4 linked regions of the Oryctolagus cuniculus genome follow. The protein of the gene in region 4 purifies or fractionates together with the protein of the main gene of each other region. This does not show direct contact. Links are inferred from orthologs where the notes say so. Each region holds a gene or a part of one and is shown on either strand. Other genes may lie near its edges.

What was found.
Region 1: the proteins of SNAP23 (region 4) and NAPA purify together in Homo sapiens (affinity purification with mass spectrometry; 4 studies listed by BioGRID and IntAct, with this or other methods). This does not show direct contact. The link is inferred for Oryctolagus cuniculus from reciprocal best matches to the Homo sapiens genes SNAP23 and NAPA.
Region 2: the proteins of SNAP23 (region 4) and VAMP3 purify together in Homo sapiens (affinity purification with western blotting; 6 studies listed by BioGRID and IntAct, with this or other methods). This does not show direct contact. The link is inferred for Oryctolagus cuniculus from reciprocal best matches to the Homo sapiens genes SNAP23 and VAMP3.
Region 3: the proteins of SNAP23 (region 4) and VAMP2 purify together in Homo sapiens (affinity purification with western blotting; 4 studies listed by BioGRID and IntAct, with this or other methods). This does not show direct contact. The link is inferred for Oryctolagus cuniculus from reciprocal best matches to the Homo sapiens genes SNAP23 and VAMP2.

Annotation. Positions count from the first base shown.
Region 1 is NC_091449.1:10,127,636-10,131,625, forward strand, and holds the start of NAPA (alpha-soluble NSF attachment protein), read left to right. Parts: upstream 1-1,186; 5' UTR 1,187-1,384; coding exon 1,385-1,482; intron 1,483-3,990. UniProt on the Homo sapiens protein: Required for vesicular transport between the endoplasmic reticulum and the Golgi apparatus. Together with GNA12 promotes CDH5 localization to plasma membrane.
Region 2 is NC_091438.1:159,935,335-159,939,321, reverse strand, and holds the start of VAMP3 (vesicle-associated membrane protein 3), read left to right. Parts: upstream 1-1,183; 5' UTR 1,184-1,336; coding exon 1,337-1,338; intron 1,339-3,115; coding exon 3,116-3,194; intron 3,195-3,987. UniProt on the Homo sapiens protein: SNARE involved in vesicular transport from the late endosomes to the trans-Golgi network.
Region 3 is NC_091448.1:52,652,082-52,656,020, forward strand, and holds the start of VAMP2 (vesicle-associated membrane protein 2), read right to left. Parts: upstream 2,805-3,939; 5' UTR 2,647-2,804; coding exon 2,645-2,646; intron 2,115-2,644; coding exon 1,994-2,114; intron 1,524-1,993; coding exon 1,365-1,523; intron 1,285-1,364; coding exon 1,233-1,284; intron 682-1,232; coding exon 665-681; 3' UTR 1-664. UniProt on the Homo sapiens protein: Involved in the targeting and/or fusion of transport vesicles to their target membrane. Major SNARE protein of synaptic vesicles which mediates fusion of synaptic vesicles to release neurotransmitters.
Region 4 is NC_091443.1:65,545,174-65,549,331, reverse strand, and holds the start of SNAP23 (synaptosomal-associated protein 23), read right to left. Parts: upstream 2,809-4,158; coding exon 2,752-2,808; intron 2,233-2,751; coding exon 2,191-2,232; intron 1,420-2,190; coding exon 1,371-1,419; intron 675-1,370; coding exon 557-674; intron 1-556. UniProt on the Homo sapiens protein: Essential component of the high affinity receptor for the general membrane fusion machinery and an important regulator of transport vesicle docking and fusion.

The DNA.
Region 1 (3,990 bases), on a different chromosome or scaffold from region 4:
TCGGGAAAGCGCTTCCTGGAAGAGAGCTGGGCGAGAGGTCGGCCTGCCGTGCCCTGGTCAGTCAACCCCAGCCCCGCACAGCACTGCGCGTGCACACGCCGGTCCCATGCTGGGCGGGGCTCTGGAAAGAAATGGACTCCTGTGCCTCGCAGGCTCAGAATGGGGATCGCGACAGGGCGGGCCCTGCAACCTGACTCTGTAAAGCAGCTTTTCAGAATAGGTTCCCAAAACTCCAGACCCCACAGCTTCCCCACGCTTGCCATTAGGCTGGTACCTCTGATGCAGTGAACAAGCCGATCTGGGCACCGTGTGGCCGGCCAGCGTCTGTGCCCTGACTTCTTGAGGTCAATCCGACGCCACCCTGCACTGAGCAGCCGTGGCCCCCTCGGCTCTTACTAGGGAAGGGGAGCAGTACTAAAAATCAAGATCAAGACACCAGGCAATGCTGGAACCGCCGGCAGGCAGACAGCTTGACTTGCGGCCAGCGGCCAGGTCGAGCTCCCTGCCGGACGGCTGGCCGGGGAAGCCGCCAGGACGGAGGGCCCACGGCGAGAGGGGCCCCCCGCGGCGCCAGCAGCGCCCCACGCTCTGCGCGGCCCCGCGGCTCAGACTGGCGAGTCCGGCCCCTGGGAAACAAGCTCCGGGGGCGACGCCTCTCGTTCTCTGCCCCGTCCCTGCGTCCCCCTCTCGCCTGAATCTCGCACGCGCGGCTGCAGGCGCTCCCATCTGTCAAGCACTGCACGGGCCTCCCGCGCCAGTTTCAGCATCGGCCGGCAGAGGGCGCAAGAGAAAGCAGAACGCTCCCCTTTTTTCCCACTGAGGCCTTTTCGAGTGAAAGGAACCACGCGAGACAAGGCTTAGAGGCGGGACTAAAACACCGAGCAAGAGAACTGTCAAACCCAGGCGTGCGCCGGAAGTTGTCACGTGACAGCCGCCGCTCCAGCTGACCCGTGCCCAACTTCCGCAAGGTGGGGCGGACCCGAGCAGAGAGCGGCTGCTGATTGGTGGAAAGGCAAATACTGCGGCAGCACTTTGGGGGTGGGTCCCTGACGGTGAGGGCTACGATTGGCTAGTGCGGCGTCACGAGGTGGTGGGTGCGGAGCATCCGGAAGAGAGGCGCAAAACAGGTGGCTACGCATGCGTCGAGAGTCACGGGGCGGTGCGCGGCGGCCTGCCGGGGCGTGGCCAGCGGGGAGCGCGCCGCGCTACGAGGTCCCTGATTGGCCAGTGCCAGTCACCTGGTGCCCGGCCTCGGGCGGCGCGCGCCGGTGCGACGTCAACGCAGCCAGCTAAGCTCCCGGGACCTGTGTACCGCGGCCCGGCCGGGCCTGAGTCCTCCCAGGGCCCGGGTCGGGCGGTTCGCTGAGTTCGCTCTGCGGCCGCCATGGATAACTCGGGGAAGGAAGCGGAGGCGATGGCGCTGCTCGCCGAGGCGGAGCGCAAAGTGAAGAACTCGCAGTCCTTCTTCTCAGGCCTGTTCGGGTAGGAACCAGGCCGAAAGGTCGGCCGGGACCTGGGCTGGGGGCCGCAGGGGTCACGGCCTGGGGTGGCGGGGGAGGCGCGGTGCGGGGGCCGGTTTCCAGGGAGAGGGCCGAAGGGGCTTGGGCTGGGGACCCACGGGCCCGGGCGACCACCTCTTGAGGCGGGGAAGGGGATCCAGGCTGAAGACGGGCTCAGAGGCCAGCGGAGACCTGGGCGAAGGGGATACGGGCAGTGGCCTTGGCGGGGACCAGCCGCGGGGGCCAGGTTCCAAAGCCTTCTCAAGCCCTCGGGGGATCTGTTTGAGGGGTCGCGCCGGGGCCTGGGGCTGGGGCCACCTGCCCAAGGGGCTGACCTTCCCGAGCCCAGGCAGGGGGCTGCTGCGTAGCCCTTCGGTAAGGACAGGGCTCGCACAGGGCCTGAGGGCTTGGGGACAGGACTAGCGGCTGCCATGCGGCAGGCGCCCACGGAAGTTGGCGGCAGCTCAGGGCCGGCCGCACTGAGGGGCTTTGGGGTGCGGCTGCCGCTCAGCCCGCGACCTGGGTGAGTTTTAATCTCCCCGACGAAGGGGTAGCCAGTGAGAGCTGTCTCCTCCCCGTCGATAGCCGGGCGGCGTTGGGCTGGCGGATGGCGAGCGCTCCGAAGTGGTGGCTGGCAGTGTTGGGAGTGCCCTGCAAGGAAAGAGGTGTGCGGTGATGGGGGCTGGTAGAGAGCCAGGCGGGAGCCGGGGAGCGGCTCAGGAGCCGAAAGGGGCAGGGAAGGCCTGCGGACCGCGGGGCTTAGCGGGGTCAGGGCACGGGCCGGGGAGGGGTAGCGGAGGTCAGCGGGAAGCTTGGGGGGTCAGGGCACGGGGCCGGGGAGGGGTGGCGGAGGTCAGCGGGAAACTTGGGGGGGTCAGGGCACGGGGCCGGGGAGGGGTGGCAGAGGTCAGCGGGAAGCTTGGGGGGTCAGGGCACGGGGAGGGGTAGCGGAGGTCAGTGGGAAGCTTGGGGGGTCAGGGCACGGGGCCGGGGAGGGGTAGCGGAGGTCAGCTGGAAGCTTGGGGGGTCAGAGCCGGGGAGGGGTAGCGGAGGTCAGCGGGAAGCTTGGGGGGTCAGGGCACGGGGCTGGGGAGGGGTGGCGGAGGTCAGCGGGAAGCTTGGGGGGTCAGGGCACGGGGCCGGGGAGGGGTAGCGGAGGTCAGCTGGAACCTTGGGGGGTCAGGGCCCAGGAGGGGTAGCGGAGGTCAGCTGGAAGCTTGGGGGGTCAGGGCCGGGGAGGGGTAGCGGAGGTCAGCTGGAAGCTTGGGGGGTCAGAGCCGGGGAGGGGTAGCGGAGGTCAGTTGGAAGCTTGGGGGTCAGGGCCGGGGAGGGGTAGCGGAGGTCAGCTGGAACCTTGGGGGATCAGGGCCGGGGAGGGGTAGCAGAGGTCAGCTGGAACCTTGGGGGGTCAGGGCCAGGGAGGGGTAGCAGAGGTCAGGGCACGGGGGCCGGGGAGGGGTAGTGGAGGTCAGCGGGAAGCCGCTGAGGCCGAGCTTAGGACGGGGAATGGGACTGGGGTTTGCTGCAAGCCGGGGAAGGGGGTCTGGGAGGCGGGGGGGGGAGGGTCTTTCCAGGAGACTGAGCCTGCCCTTGCTGCTGGAGGTGGGATAACAGCAAAGGAAAACGTCCGGGTCCTCATGGGTTTTGTTGTAGACTGAGTGGAGACCGTGTGTGTGCGCATGCGTGTGTGTAATTCAAGTGCGCTGTTCTGAGGGTGGCTGGTGGTGTCTGGTGCCCTTGGCCCAGGGTTAGGGCCCCGCTGGGCTGCACCGGGGGGGGGGCGGGCAGCTAAGCCAGCCTGGGACAGGCTGCTGGGTTGGGATGGGGAGCGCGACACTTGGCGTGGACTAGTGAGGCTGGGTTGTTGGTTGTAAGGTGGGCTGGGTGATGTCCTTCAAAGCCTGCAGGACTCGGGCGGACGGCGCCTGGCATGAGTGCTGTGAGCAAAGGCCTCACCTGGTGACAGGGACGGCCAGGGGTGGTCTCCCTCGGGCGTGATGGGCCATCGGGGGAGCCGTGTGCTGCGGAGCTGTGAGGCGCGGCCTGTGAAGGTTTAGTGCAGGGGGTTGGGGCTGGGCCAAGGTGAGGCCACGAGCGAGCGAGGGCCTGGACTTGAGCCGAGCCCGAGAGGAGAGTGCTGGGTCTGAGCAGCGACTGGGGACGCTGCCGCCCGTGCTTCCTGACGCCGGGCCTGGCGCTTCCGTCCTCGCCAAAGCCCCGTGGATAGCGGAGGCCTAGAGACATCGCCGTAGGTGCTGGAGCAGCATGCGCTGCCCGGCCTGGCGCTCACTCTGCCCTGCCGTGCCGCAGCGGCTGCTCCAGGGCCAGGGCCAGGGCCGAGCCCCCAGAGCTCTGCAGTGGGGAGGGCGCGGCACACCAGGTCTCGGGGAGCTGCCGCCCTCTAGCCCCTCCCCCCCAGTCTTCCACGGGAGAAAGGAAGCAGCTTTGGGGCCTGCGCTGCCCCGACGCTGGCACCCCGCATCGGGGCGCT
Region 2 (3,987 bases), on a different chromosome or scaffold from region 4:
AACGCACTTCCACTGAATCGAAGCTTTTCTGACCGCTTTCTCTTGGTTGTGAACCTTAATTTCGAATATAAGATGATAGGTAAGCGCAGCTTTCTTGGATAATCTGAATTCCCAAGTGCCAGGAGTAGGATTTCATTATAAAATTAATAGCTAATCTTATTCTGTCTCCTGAAGATTTAATTGCTATTCTCGTTACCCATTCGAAATCAGCTGTACTGTGTGAACGAAATAAAAGACAATAACACGAACCCCCTCTCTGGCTGCACGGTCGCTTCTGGCAGTTCCACACAGTAGTTGGCGCCCAACGGGGGGTCCCTGAGACTTGCATGTAAAACTAGTCTAGATGTCTTCTTTTTTGTAAGTTTTATTTTTGTAATTGTGCATGTAAAGCATCATTGAATCAATGGATCTGTTGAAGAACTCAGCTGCTGGAAACCATGCAAAATGTTTTGAATTGCCCTTAAAATATGGAAAATGTTTTCTGAATGCTTTATATTCTTTCTGCTGTAAATTAAAAATGAAGAAAATTTCCCCATACTATCCGTGTTTTGCTTTAACTTGACCCGTTCCCGGAATCCAAGGGGGTGAGCACGTGCCGGTTCCCAATGCCAACCCGTGATCCCGAACAGCGCTGGGCGGACGCCTTCCTGAGCGAGAGTCAGTCCTGCAGACGCCCAGCTTTGCAGTTGAAGTCCCAAGCCCTGGGCCAGTGTCCCGGCCAGCGGCCGTCCGCGCCGGCACCGTCCCACGCCCGTAGCGGCCCCCGCCGGCTCCTCGAGGCCCCCGGCCCCGCCGGCTGCCGCGTGCCCGGCGCGTGCCCAGCGCGGCCGGCCCGGCCCGACCCCCGACCCCAACCCGGGGCGCGCGCTCGCTCCTTCCTCACGTGACAGACGCGGCCAAGCCGGCACTGCGTTCCCCACTCCCACCTCACACTCCGCCTCGACCCGGGCGCCCCTCAGCGCGGCCGGCGGCGGGCGCTGACAGACACCGGTCACAAACGAAAACACCCGGAAGAACGTACAGAGCCCCGCCCTCGCCCAGACAGTCCCTGTCCCGTACCGCCTGCTCCCCCTGACCGCGTCCCCAGCGGCCAGGCCCCCCCACGCCGCCATTGCCAGTGGCCCGGGGCGGCCGCCACAGGCCCCGCCGACGGCGTTAGGACGCAGACGGCGCCTCGCGCTGGCCCCGCCCACGTGGGCGCCCACTTCCGGCGCGCCCGGCCGCGCCCGATGACGTCATTGCCGCCGCGCCACCCCACCCATCCCCGAGCCTAGGTCCTGGGCTGCGCAGCTCGGAGGACTCTCGCCCCGCCGTCCGCGCCTCCGCCGCTGCCAAAATGTGAGTGACGCGACGGGGCGCGGGGCGGCTTCGGGGCCCGCAGGCGGCGGCCCGCGGCGGGAGCCGTCGCACGGCCCGGTGGCTGCCTGCCGGTCGCCCCTCCGCCGCGGGCCGAGCCCGTGAGGGCGTTGAGTGCGTTCCGAGGCCTGCGGCGGGCAGCGCCCGCGGGAGTGCGGGCCGTGGCAGGGCCTAGCTGTCGCCGCGGCGCCGCCGGCCGTCCCCAGGGCCCTGCCGCCGGCGGGCTTCCGGGAGGAAGTGGCTGCGCCCAGCCCTGCAGCCCGGCCCTGCCCCGCGAGGTCCCCAAGAGCAGCGCCGGCGACCGCGGGGCCGGGAGCGGCGGCCTCGGGACACGGCAGCCTGGCCGGGGCCTTGCTGCTCCTGAGCGAATGCGTTCCTGGGGCTGCGGCCCTGGAGACCGCTGTTTCCAGATTCGGTTGTCCAGCATCGCAGGGCCCCGGCAGTCTCGCCTCCAGCCCCTCGTTGCAACCCCTGCGGGGAAAACCAGCCCAGCGCCCGAGGGGCGCGCCCGTGGGACGTCCCTGGGGAGGCCGCTGTGCTGGTCAGCAGAGCCCCGCGGACCCCCGGAGCCGGTGAATGCCCCCTGGAGTGACTGCTAAACCTCGTGTTGAGGGCATCGGCAGTGTCCCCCCCACCCCAAAGAGTTAGGATCCAAGGAGCCCGCGCGGGGCGTGGGCCCTCTGCGTGCTCTCGCGGACACTCCACGCAGAACAGCGTGGGATCTGCCTTATTCCCCGGCTGCTGACGCGCGGCAGGTTTTAAATAACTGATGTTGTGTGGCGAGGCAGGTGCTCCACGCATTATTATTATTATTATCATTTTTGGACAGGCAGAGTGGACAGTGAGAGAGAGACAGAGAGAAAGGTCTTCCTTTTCCGTTGGTTCACCCTCCAATGGCCGCCGCGGCCGGCGCGCTGCAGCCAGTGCACCGCGCTGATCCGAAGGCAGGAGCCAGGTGCTTCTCCTGGTCTCCCATGGGGTGCAGGGCCCAAGCACCCGTGCCATCCTCCACTGCCTTCCCGGGCCACAGCAGAGAGCTGGCCTGGAAGAGGGACAACCGGGACAGAACCCGGCGCCCCGACCGGGACTAGAACCCGGAGTGCCGGCGCCGCAGGCGGAGGATTAGCCTAGTGAGCCGCGGCGCCAGCACTCCAGGCATTCTTGAACACGGAGGAGAGAATTCTAGGACCCAGGAGCCCGTGGTTTGTCAGGAGAGAGGTGACTGGTGACTGTCCGGCGCCAGCCAAGCCCTAGGGGAGCTCCGGGCCGCAGTGGCCAAGAGAGGGAGACTTGGAGGATGAGTCGGTCGCTGAGAGGATGCGATGCTTCCTCGCCATTCTCGAACATTCCACGGCATCCCCCCCCCCCCCCCCCCGCCCGGTGTTCCTACGCTGTGTCTGTAAATGAGTCGCTATTAGGAGACACCGGAACTCTTATTCCTCTGAAAGCATTGTTGCCGCAGTGGAAGGGCCCGGGGAGTCCTGAGTGCCGAGAGCGGCCTGTGTGTGTGCCCGGCTGGGGGTCGCTGCTGTGTACCAGACTCTACCGAGCCTTCCTCCTGGACTCCGGTCCCTCGGATGTGGGCAAATTGGTAATCTTGGAGGAACTGTTCAGGTCTACAGGCAGGGTTCTCTTTCGCTTTGGTTGTGATGTGAGCGTTGTCCGCACTGGAGTCCTGGGGAATGGGATCGCATCCTAAAGCTGACAGTACTGTATTGGGATTCCTGACCGACTCATGCTGTGCCTTTCCGCGTTCCAGGTCCACGGGTGCACCTGCAGGTTCCAGCGCTGCTGCCGGCAGCAGAAGACTTCAGCAGACGCAGAACCAAGTGGATGAGGTATCGCTCGAAATGCTGGGAACGTAGATTTAAACAAACATGGCAGCGTGCCGAAGATAATTCTGTTTAGAAAAACTCTCGTAAAGGTGTGAATGGAACATCAGTGTTGAGTTATCATAAAGGTAGTGAATCTGCCCTAATCTAAGCCAAAGTCAGACTCTCCGGGAACCTATATAGAATCATGTACATAAAACAGTCTCCCTGAGGGCATGCCCCAAAAGTGTCTTATTAAAAAAAGTAACAGAACTTTAAGGATTAGGTCTAAGATTGCTCATGCCAGGACCAGTCCTTCTGATGGATATACATGTATTTTTAAATCAAAACGCTCTGTCCTTTAGCCTGACCTACACATTACCCAGTCTGAGCAAGTCTCTGTAGAATTCATCTGTGACAGTTGCCCATTGACACACAGAAGGCAGTCTCTGGCAAACTGCAGCTCAACACATCCGTATTTATAGAATTCTTTTTTTTAAAAAAAAGATTTATTTATTTATTTATTTGAAAGTCAGAGTTAATACACAGAGAAGACGAGGCAGAAAGGGAGACAGAAGCCAGGAGCTTCTTCCGGGTCTCCCACATGGGTGCAGAGGCCCAAGCACTTGGGCCATCTTCTGCTGCTTTCCCAGGCCACAGCGGAGAGCTGGATCGGAAGTGGAGCGGCTGGGATACAAACTGGTGCCCTTATGGGATGTTGGCACTGCAGATGGTGGCTTTACGCTTAGGCCACAGTGCCAGTTCCCTAGAATTCTTGAGCAATAGATGTTCACAGAATCTTTTTTTTTTTTTTTTTTTT
Region 3 (3,939 bases), on a different chromosome or scaffold from region 4:
ATGTCGTGCAAATAAGAGTGACACAAGGACTACTGGGGACTAACTTTCCAGTAAGAAAGAAATTGGTTCAAAGAAGAGTGATGGAACAAAAAACAAGGAAACCAAAGGGATGTTGGTGTGCAAATGATCTGCTAATTAACACGCTGGAAGCTCCCAGAAGATCTTGGGATTCTCAGGACCAAGTGGGGCCAGTCTCAGGGCCTCCCAATGGATGCAAAGAAGGTGCATGTAGGGAGGCCTGGCCAGGTGCTTTTGTCTGTTGTGGGAGGAGTGCAGAGGGGGAGGAGGGGGAAGGCAAGGAAGGATCAGCTGGATGGGGGAAGGAGAGGGGCTGTTGCATAGCAGATGCAAATGAGGGGACTTGGGACTGGTCAGGAGGGAAAGGGGGGGACAGGGACAGAGAGAGGCGAGGACGGGGACACCTCAGGAAGGGGTGTTAAGGACAACCGGAAAAATCTTCTAGTAATAAAACTACAAACAGACCAAATATATATAATATTATATATGTATAAATAACAGCTGGCTATTTACAGGGGGCACACACACAGACACACACACACACACACGGATCCGGGGAGGGGCTGAGAGATATGGCTGAGAGGTGGAGGAACGGCTGGGGGTGGGGGAGAGGCCCTTCTCTAGGCAGGGCAGACTCCTCGGGGATTTAAGTGCTGAAGTAAACTGTGGAGAGAGGGAAGAGGAAGAGGAAGAGGGAGGGGGGAGGGAGGGAGAGAGAGAGAGCTGGGTGTCAGGCCCGGCCCTGCTGCGGTCCTCCCCACCCCCTAGCTGGCTGGCTGCTGCCCCTTCCCCCAGCTCGAGGCCTCAGTCTCTCCATCTGTGAAGCAAGGGGCTGGCCAGATGGGTGCCTCCACGGGATGGCTTTGGAGCCACACCCCCACCCAATTCACCAGCTCTCAGACAGCGGCAGGACTGGCTTCCTGGCCATGTCTCCATTTCCGCCTCCCACTCCCCAGTTCCAGTTCCCAAACTGGGCTCTCAAGCCCAAAGGATGCTCAGTGAAGTAGTGGGAGATCCACCGGCTTTCCCGTTGCCAACAGTCAGGCACCCGGCAGGCTGCACAGGCTTTCTGGCTCTAGGACCCACAGCTCCCTAAGCAGCTATGTGGCGTTTGCCAGAGTGAAGACTAGGTTAGTGACCTTCACATCCCAGACTGCACCCACCGGGGGGAGCCTCTCCAGAGAAGGGGCCCCGGCCACTCCCGCCCCACTCACCGATGATGATGATGAGGATGATGGCGCAAATCACTCCCAAGATGATCATCATCTGGGGGCGGGAGGGGAGGGTCAGTGAGACAAGCCCCCATCCTTCCATTCACCCCCCAGTTCTCCCGCCCCCGCCCTCACCTTGAGGTTTTTCCACCAGTATTTGCGCTTGAGCTTGGCTGCACTAGTTTCAAACTGGGAGGCCCCCGCCTGGAGTGCATCGGCGCGGTCGTCCAGCTCAGACAGCTTCTGGTCCCGCTCCAGGACTTTGTCCACATTCACCCTCATGATGTCCACCACCTGGGGGAGGGGCCCAGGAGGCAGGGGGTGTGCCAAGGCCCGCCGAAACGAGGGCACTCCTTGACCGTGTGCCCAGGGTGCCATACACAGAACATGCACCCAGATACCGCCAAGTTAACATGCCAAGGACACACAGAGAACATGCCTAGCATACCTGGGGACATGCAAGGAGCACACATCAGGGGCATGCTGGCAGCCACACATTCAGATGTCAGAGCGACCCTCAGAGAGCCTGTCAGTCACCAGGGCAAACCTGCCCAGGCTGGCACACCGCAGGCTAGCAAGGCTGCTTGACACCCCAGCGCCCTTCCAAATGTGTGCTGACGCGAAGGCAGGGAGGAGGCTCGGCATGTCTTTGTCCCCACACCCACAGCTGTGAACTGTCATCACCCCCAACCCGCGATGGGCCCCACACCTGCGTGCCCACCTGCAGGCTCTGGCCTGCGGCCTCCCACCCGGCTCACACTCACCTCATCCACCTGGGCCTGGGTCTGCTGCAGTCTCCTGTTACTGGTGAGATTGGGAGGGGGCGCAGGGGGGCCGCCCTCCCCGGCCGGGGCGGCAGGGGGGGCGGTGGCAGCGGTAGCAGACCTGAGGAGCAGGCGCAGATTAAGGCCCAGGGTCCAGAGACTCCGGCCCCGCGGCCAGGGCTCCGCCCATCCACCTGTCCATCCGTCGTCCCTCCAGTCCTCCTTTTCGGGAGGAAGGCCGCCCGATGGGAGCCCTGGTCTCCGTCCAGCCCCATCGCCGCTGAGCTGAGTGACCTTGAGCGAGGCCCCCTCCCCCCTCCGGGCCTCAGTTTCCCCGCCTGCCAAATGAGAGCGACCTCACGGACGCGGTCTGGGGTCGACACCGGATGACAGGCGTCCGCGGTGACAGGGCCGGGGCGGGGCAAGGCAGACGCTGGGTCCGCACCCTCCCGCGCGGCCATCGCCCGCGCCGGCCAGCCCGGGGGCCGCGGGGGCTCTCCCCGGCCCGCCGCGCAGTCACGGGCGCCAGGCTGGCCCCGAGAGCACCGGGGGCGCGGGCGGGACCCCGGGCCCTCCCCGCGCGGTCCACTCCCAGGGCGGCGGCCGAGGCGGGGAAGCGCGGTACGGACGGCGGGCGGCCGGCCGACTCACATGGCGGGGGCAGCGGGTGGAGGACTTGGCAGCGGCAGTGATGGCGGCGGCGGCGGCAGCGGCGGCGGCTCGCGCTGGCTCCGACTGGCGCTGGCTGCCCGGGACGGGAAGATGGCGGCCGCACGTCACCCGCACCCGGGCACTGCGGGCGGGGGCGGGGCTCGCAGGCGACACGTCGCGAGCGCGGCCGCGGGGGCGGGGCGGGGCCCGGCGGGGCGGGGGTCGAGCCGGGCGGGGCCGCCGCGGCGCGCCTCGCGCGCCCTCCCCGCACCTCGCGCGCCCTCCGCGCCACCCCTGGCTGACTGCTGCGGCTTTCCCCAAACCCCCGCGCCGCCGCGTCCTGGAGGCTCGCAGCCCCCTGCTACCCGGCCTTCCGCCGCGGAGCCCCGCACCTCACCCTAGGCCACCTCCTCCCTCTCCCGTGACTCCGATAAACCAGTCCGCAGCCCCGTGGCCCGAGGTCTCGCCCTGGCCAGGTTGCAATGCCTGGTGACCCCCCAGCTTCGGCACTCGCAATGGGCTGGGCGTGGGGAAATCAGAAGGGCCCAGCGGAGAGCGGGAACGCTCCTGCCAGAGTGGAGGAGCGGGGTGATGCGCGCTGAGACCACCTGTCACCTGGCAGGTGGATGGCTGAAGGGAGGTTTGGGGCCCCTGCGGAGCAGGAGGAGGAGGAGGAGGACCCTTCCCCTCCCCAGGCCCCGCCTCCAACCAAATCCCCGAGGGGCTGCAGGCTATGAAACTGCCAAGTTCAGAGCAGGGGCAGGCAAAGCTGGAGCAGACCCAGGGGGAGGGCGCATGCTGCCCCCCGCACTCACCCCCCCGGGGGGGGACATCGTCACGTCTAGGCCGGCCACAGACCCAGCTGTGCCCCAGACTGGAGTCAGCTGCTGCGGGACAGGCGAGGGCTTTGGCTTTGAACCTGGCCGCAGGCCGGGGGCTTTTTACCTTGGGAGGAAGGAGGACAGCAGGCAAGGGTGGCACTGCTATGTGGTGCTGCTTTACACGTGGGCTAGCCTCCTGGATGTGTCCCCCGGGCAGCTCCTTTTCTCTCTCTGGATCTCCGACACATTACACATCTAGGACTAAATATGTACGGCAGCAGTGGGATAGCTTGTAGGAGATGGTCCCCCTCCTAGGCCATCGATCACTGGTCTCCACCTAAATCCTGCACGTAGTCCCAGCCAGCTTGCAGGAGAAAATGGGCACGGGTGAGCTGTGCCTCTGGAGTGGGCAGGATCAAGGCAAGCTTCCAGGATAGAGGAAGCATTTGGGGGGGGGGGGCGATGGCTGTGGGG
Region 4 (4,158 bases):
TCCTGCTAATCACTGAAAGCCTAACTCATCTGCCACCTCTTCTGTAAGATGTTCTCCAGCCCAACCTTTATCACCTTTCCCCCTATACTTAATTGATATCATATGAGCTAACACTAGATTTACATATTTTCTGTTTTTTCTTCATACGCCCAACAACATAGCAGTCTTTTGAAAACAAGGCCCAAGTCCTTTATTCCTTTAGCCATCTCTCAGGAGCCTATCACAGAACACATACTCGAGTTTTATTAACTTCCCTTGTTTGAAACGAAAGACACTAACCCCATCCAGCTCTGTATCGTTCAAATACGTATTTTCCAAAATTTTTGTATTTTACTACAAATTAAAATTGGAAATCGCTCCCAGTATTGGCCAAAAGTAAGCCATGGTTTTCAATGAACATAGCTATTCGCATGAAGCACTCAATCTGCCAAAAGAAGAAATATTTTAAGTTTACCTAACAAACATCCTCATCTAGGTCCAGTCATACTTCTAACCTTACTTGGGAGGAGATGCTCTCATTTACTGATTTTGAAAAAAACTTGATTTATCCACTCACCTATTACATGGGCAGACACAAAGGCCACAGCACTTGTTGAGTTCTGTTAAGGTCTTCTCTGCCTCTCTCATGTCTTTATTTATCTGGTCCATGCCTTCTTCTATGCGGTTTAGTTGTTCTAAGAATAAAGTGTTGAAGGTACATTTTCTGTTACAGTATCAACAAGAAAACGCCATAGTGGAATAGCAAACTTCAACTTCAAATCTACCAATACTATACCACAAAGAATAAATCTATCAGTGTCAGAAGATATTACAAAATGTTCAACATGAAGACACTCTTACACCCATACTGACAATGGCTTATAATTGTGGAAGGATCTATTCTAAAGAAATCTGTACACCAGGAGCATGTGAAGATTTAGCACCCTCCCAATGCAAGCAAGTGTACTCTGACCACATCAGATCCCCAGCATTCCTATCACTTATTATGCTTGAAACTTGAGGTGACCACAAGACTAATCAAAAACAGATGAGATTTCTCAAGGCCAACTCAAATCAAATGTTCCCAAGTTAATCTGAATCTAAATCGGTTTTAGGACTTAACTTTGATTTCTAGGGTGAAGTAAGAATGCATAGAGGCCTGATGCACACAATAAGCCATGCTGGCCTAACACATACTTGGTATATAGTTGGTCACTGCCCCCTGTGCTAACCAGGCAATAAACATGATGTCATTCAAATCAGAAGTAAACACATCACTCATCTTACAAAGTTAAGGCATTCCCAAAGGAAAATCTATACAGGGCTGATTTGATAGAACATTTTGGCATTGTAAATCAATTTAAGAATTTCTGTCAGTAACTTTAACTCACCCCCTTGTTCATCCAGCATAGTGATGGTCTTGATTCCTGCATCCTGAGACTAAAACAAAGAGGGAAAATACCAATAGTAAAAAATAAATTAATTAATTAAATACCCTAAACCAACAGAAATAAGACCTTAAAAGGGCTGACAAATAGCAAGACTAGAATCATTTGGAAATTCATCCTCAGAGGATCGAAGCTACAGATAGAACTAGCATTCTTTTTTTTTTGACAGGCAGAGTGGACAGTGAGAGAGAGAGAGAGACAGAGAGAAAGGTCTTCCTTTTGCCATTGGTTCACCCTCCAATGGCCGCCACGGCCGGCGCACCGCGCTGATCCAAAGGCAGGAGCCAGGTGCTTCTCCTGGTCTCCCATGGGGTGCAGGGCCCAAGCACTTGGGCCACCCTCCACTGCACTCCCAGGCCACAGCAGAGAGCTGGCCTGGAAGAGGGGCAACCAGGACAGAATCCGGCGCCTTGACCGGGACTAGAACCCGCTGTGCCAGCGCCGCAAGGCGGAGGATTAGCCTACTGAGCCGCGGTGCCGGCCAGAACTAGCATTCTTAAATCAACACACTTCAACATAATATCCAAAAATAATTAAGTCAAAAACTTAAAATTAATTCATCTTTCCAAGCATATTCCAATACCATCACAAAGGGAAAAGCAGAAAAGGCCAGTTAGCACATGGTTTGACAATTTCAGTAATTGCAGGTTTCAAATAATAAAGTATATTGATAGAATGTGCTTTAGCAGCAACTCCAGCTAGTGCTATCAGGATCCCTCCTATAAACTTCTGTATTTAACTTGATGATTAAACACTTTCTTACCTCAATGGCTAAACCCAGGATTCTCCTTGTACTTTCCAGAGACTAGGAAAAAAATACAGTTTTAGTTTAAACATTTCAAAATATGTAGCCAAAAAAAAAAAAAAAAAAAAACACAGACTATATTCAGAACGTTATTCTGTTTAAAAATCACTAGCCCATCCCTCCCTTTAAAACAAAATCAAGAAAACTGGTCACTGTATTTTCAGTTATTCTTATCAAGTCCTTCTTAAAAGAAAATTAGGATGGTACACTTAAAGGGGTTCATAAAAATTTGATGAAGACAGAACTCTAAGAATATTACACAGATAGTAGGAAATAAATAAAAAATCCAGAATTCTTCAAATTTAGAGTATCTTTGTTGTGAGTAACTGTTAAGCAATGACTATCTGGAAAAACCATGCGAATTATCTTCCCTTACTTAGTGTTTCTGGTGAGTTGATGAAAAGCAATGAGCAATGAATGCCACTGAGGGGCAAATTCATTCTTTGACACAAAGGGACTAGGAAGACCCTGCGCCGTGAAAACTGCAACAGGATTACTTATTCTCAATAAAGCATTTACCTCATCAGTAACCTGGTGAGCCCTCAGCTGAATTTCTTCTGATGTCAGATTATCCATGATGAATCAAAACTTTATCAGGCAAAGAAATGGAAATGTGGGTATCCTACAAGAACAAGGAAACAAAGCTTTGAGCAAAACAAAGAGGGTAGACTTATGGAATTTAGGTATTTCTTATGAAGACAAGATAAAACCCACTTTTATTTATCTATCCCACAGATAGCTGAAAAAGACTAATTGGATATTTAATGCTAGTTAGTACCAAAGATGCACATAAAACAGGTTTTAGGACTTCTACTGAAGTGTGTGTTTTTTTGTTTTTTTTTTTTGTTTTTTTTTTTTAGATTTATTTATTTTATTTGAAAGAGTTACAGAGTGAGAGGGGGAGAGACAGAGATCTTCCATCTGCTGGTTTACTCCCCAAATGGCCACAATGGCTGGGATTGGGCCAATCCAAAGCCAGGAGCCAGGAGCTTCTTCCAGGTCTCCCACATTGGTGCAGGAGCCCAAGAACATGGGGCATCCTTCCATGATTTCCCAGGCACTTTAGCAAGGAGCTGGATGGGAAGTGGGGCAACTGAGACTTGAATGGATGCCTATATGGATTCCAGCGTGTCAGGGGCAGCTTTACCTGCTACGCCACAACACCGGCCCTGAAGTGCTCTTTAAAACGGGAAGGTGGTCACCCTACTTTAAGAAGAAAGGCACTGCTGCAAGACAAGCACTTTAAGAGACTACTGAAATTAATTCTTGGTTGTACAACGTTCTTCTGGAAAAGCAGTAAGGTAATAGAGTCTAGTTAAGGAAAATAACAAATTAAAAGTCATGTGCCTAATAAACACAGGAAACATTTTAGAAATATGCCAGTTGTCCAGGTTACACATTAGAGAAAGTGAAATACTTTTATTCTAAACAAGAAAAGGGTAATGCTGGTACAGAGTTCAGAAAAGAGCTCAAGTTTTCATTAAAGCACTCTTCTCCTCCACCTGCTTGTATTGTTCATAGTGTTAGTAACATCCTAAGAAACTGAAGAACTAGCCTTTCTATATCCCACCTTTGAAAGAGAGGCCTTACAGACACTGAAGCTAAAATACACAATATCTAGTAGGTGCGATCCAGTATCATTCTTGTGTATTCTCCTTTGAGAAGTCACATAAATAAACACTATGCAACAGATCTAGCTTTTCTTCCCAATACACAGATTAGATTTGCATTACATTTTTTTTAAAAAAAATCTATTCATTTATTTGAAAGATAGAGTCACAGAGAGACAGAGGCAGAGAGAGAGAGAGAGTTCTTGCATCTGCTGGTTCACTCCCCAAACAGCCATAACAGCTGAAGCTGGGCGGATACAAAGCCAGGAGCCTGGAGCTTCTTTCAGGTCTCCCATGTGGGTGTAGGGGCCCAAGG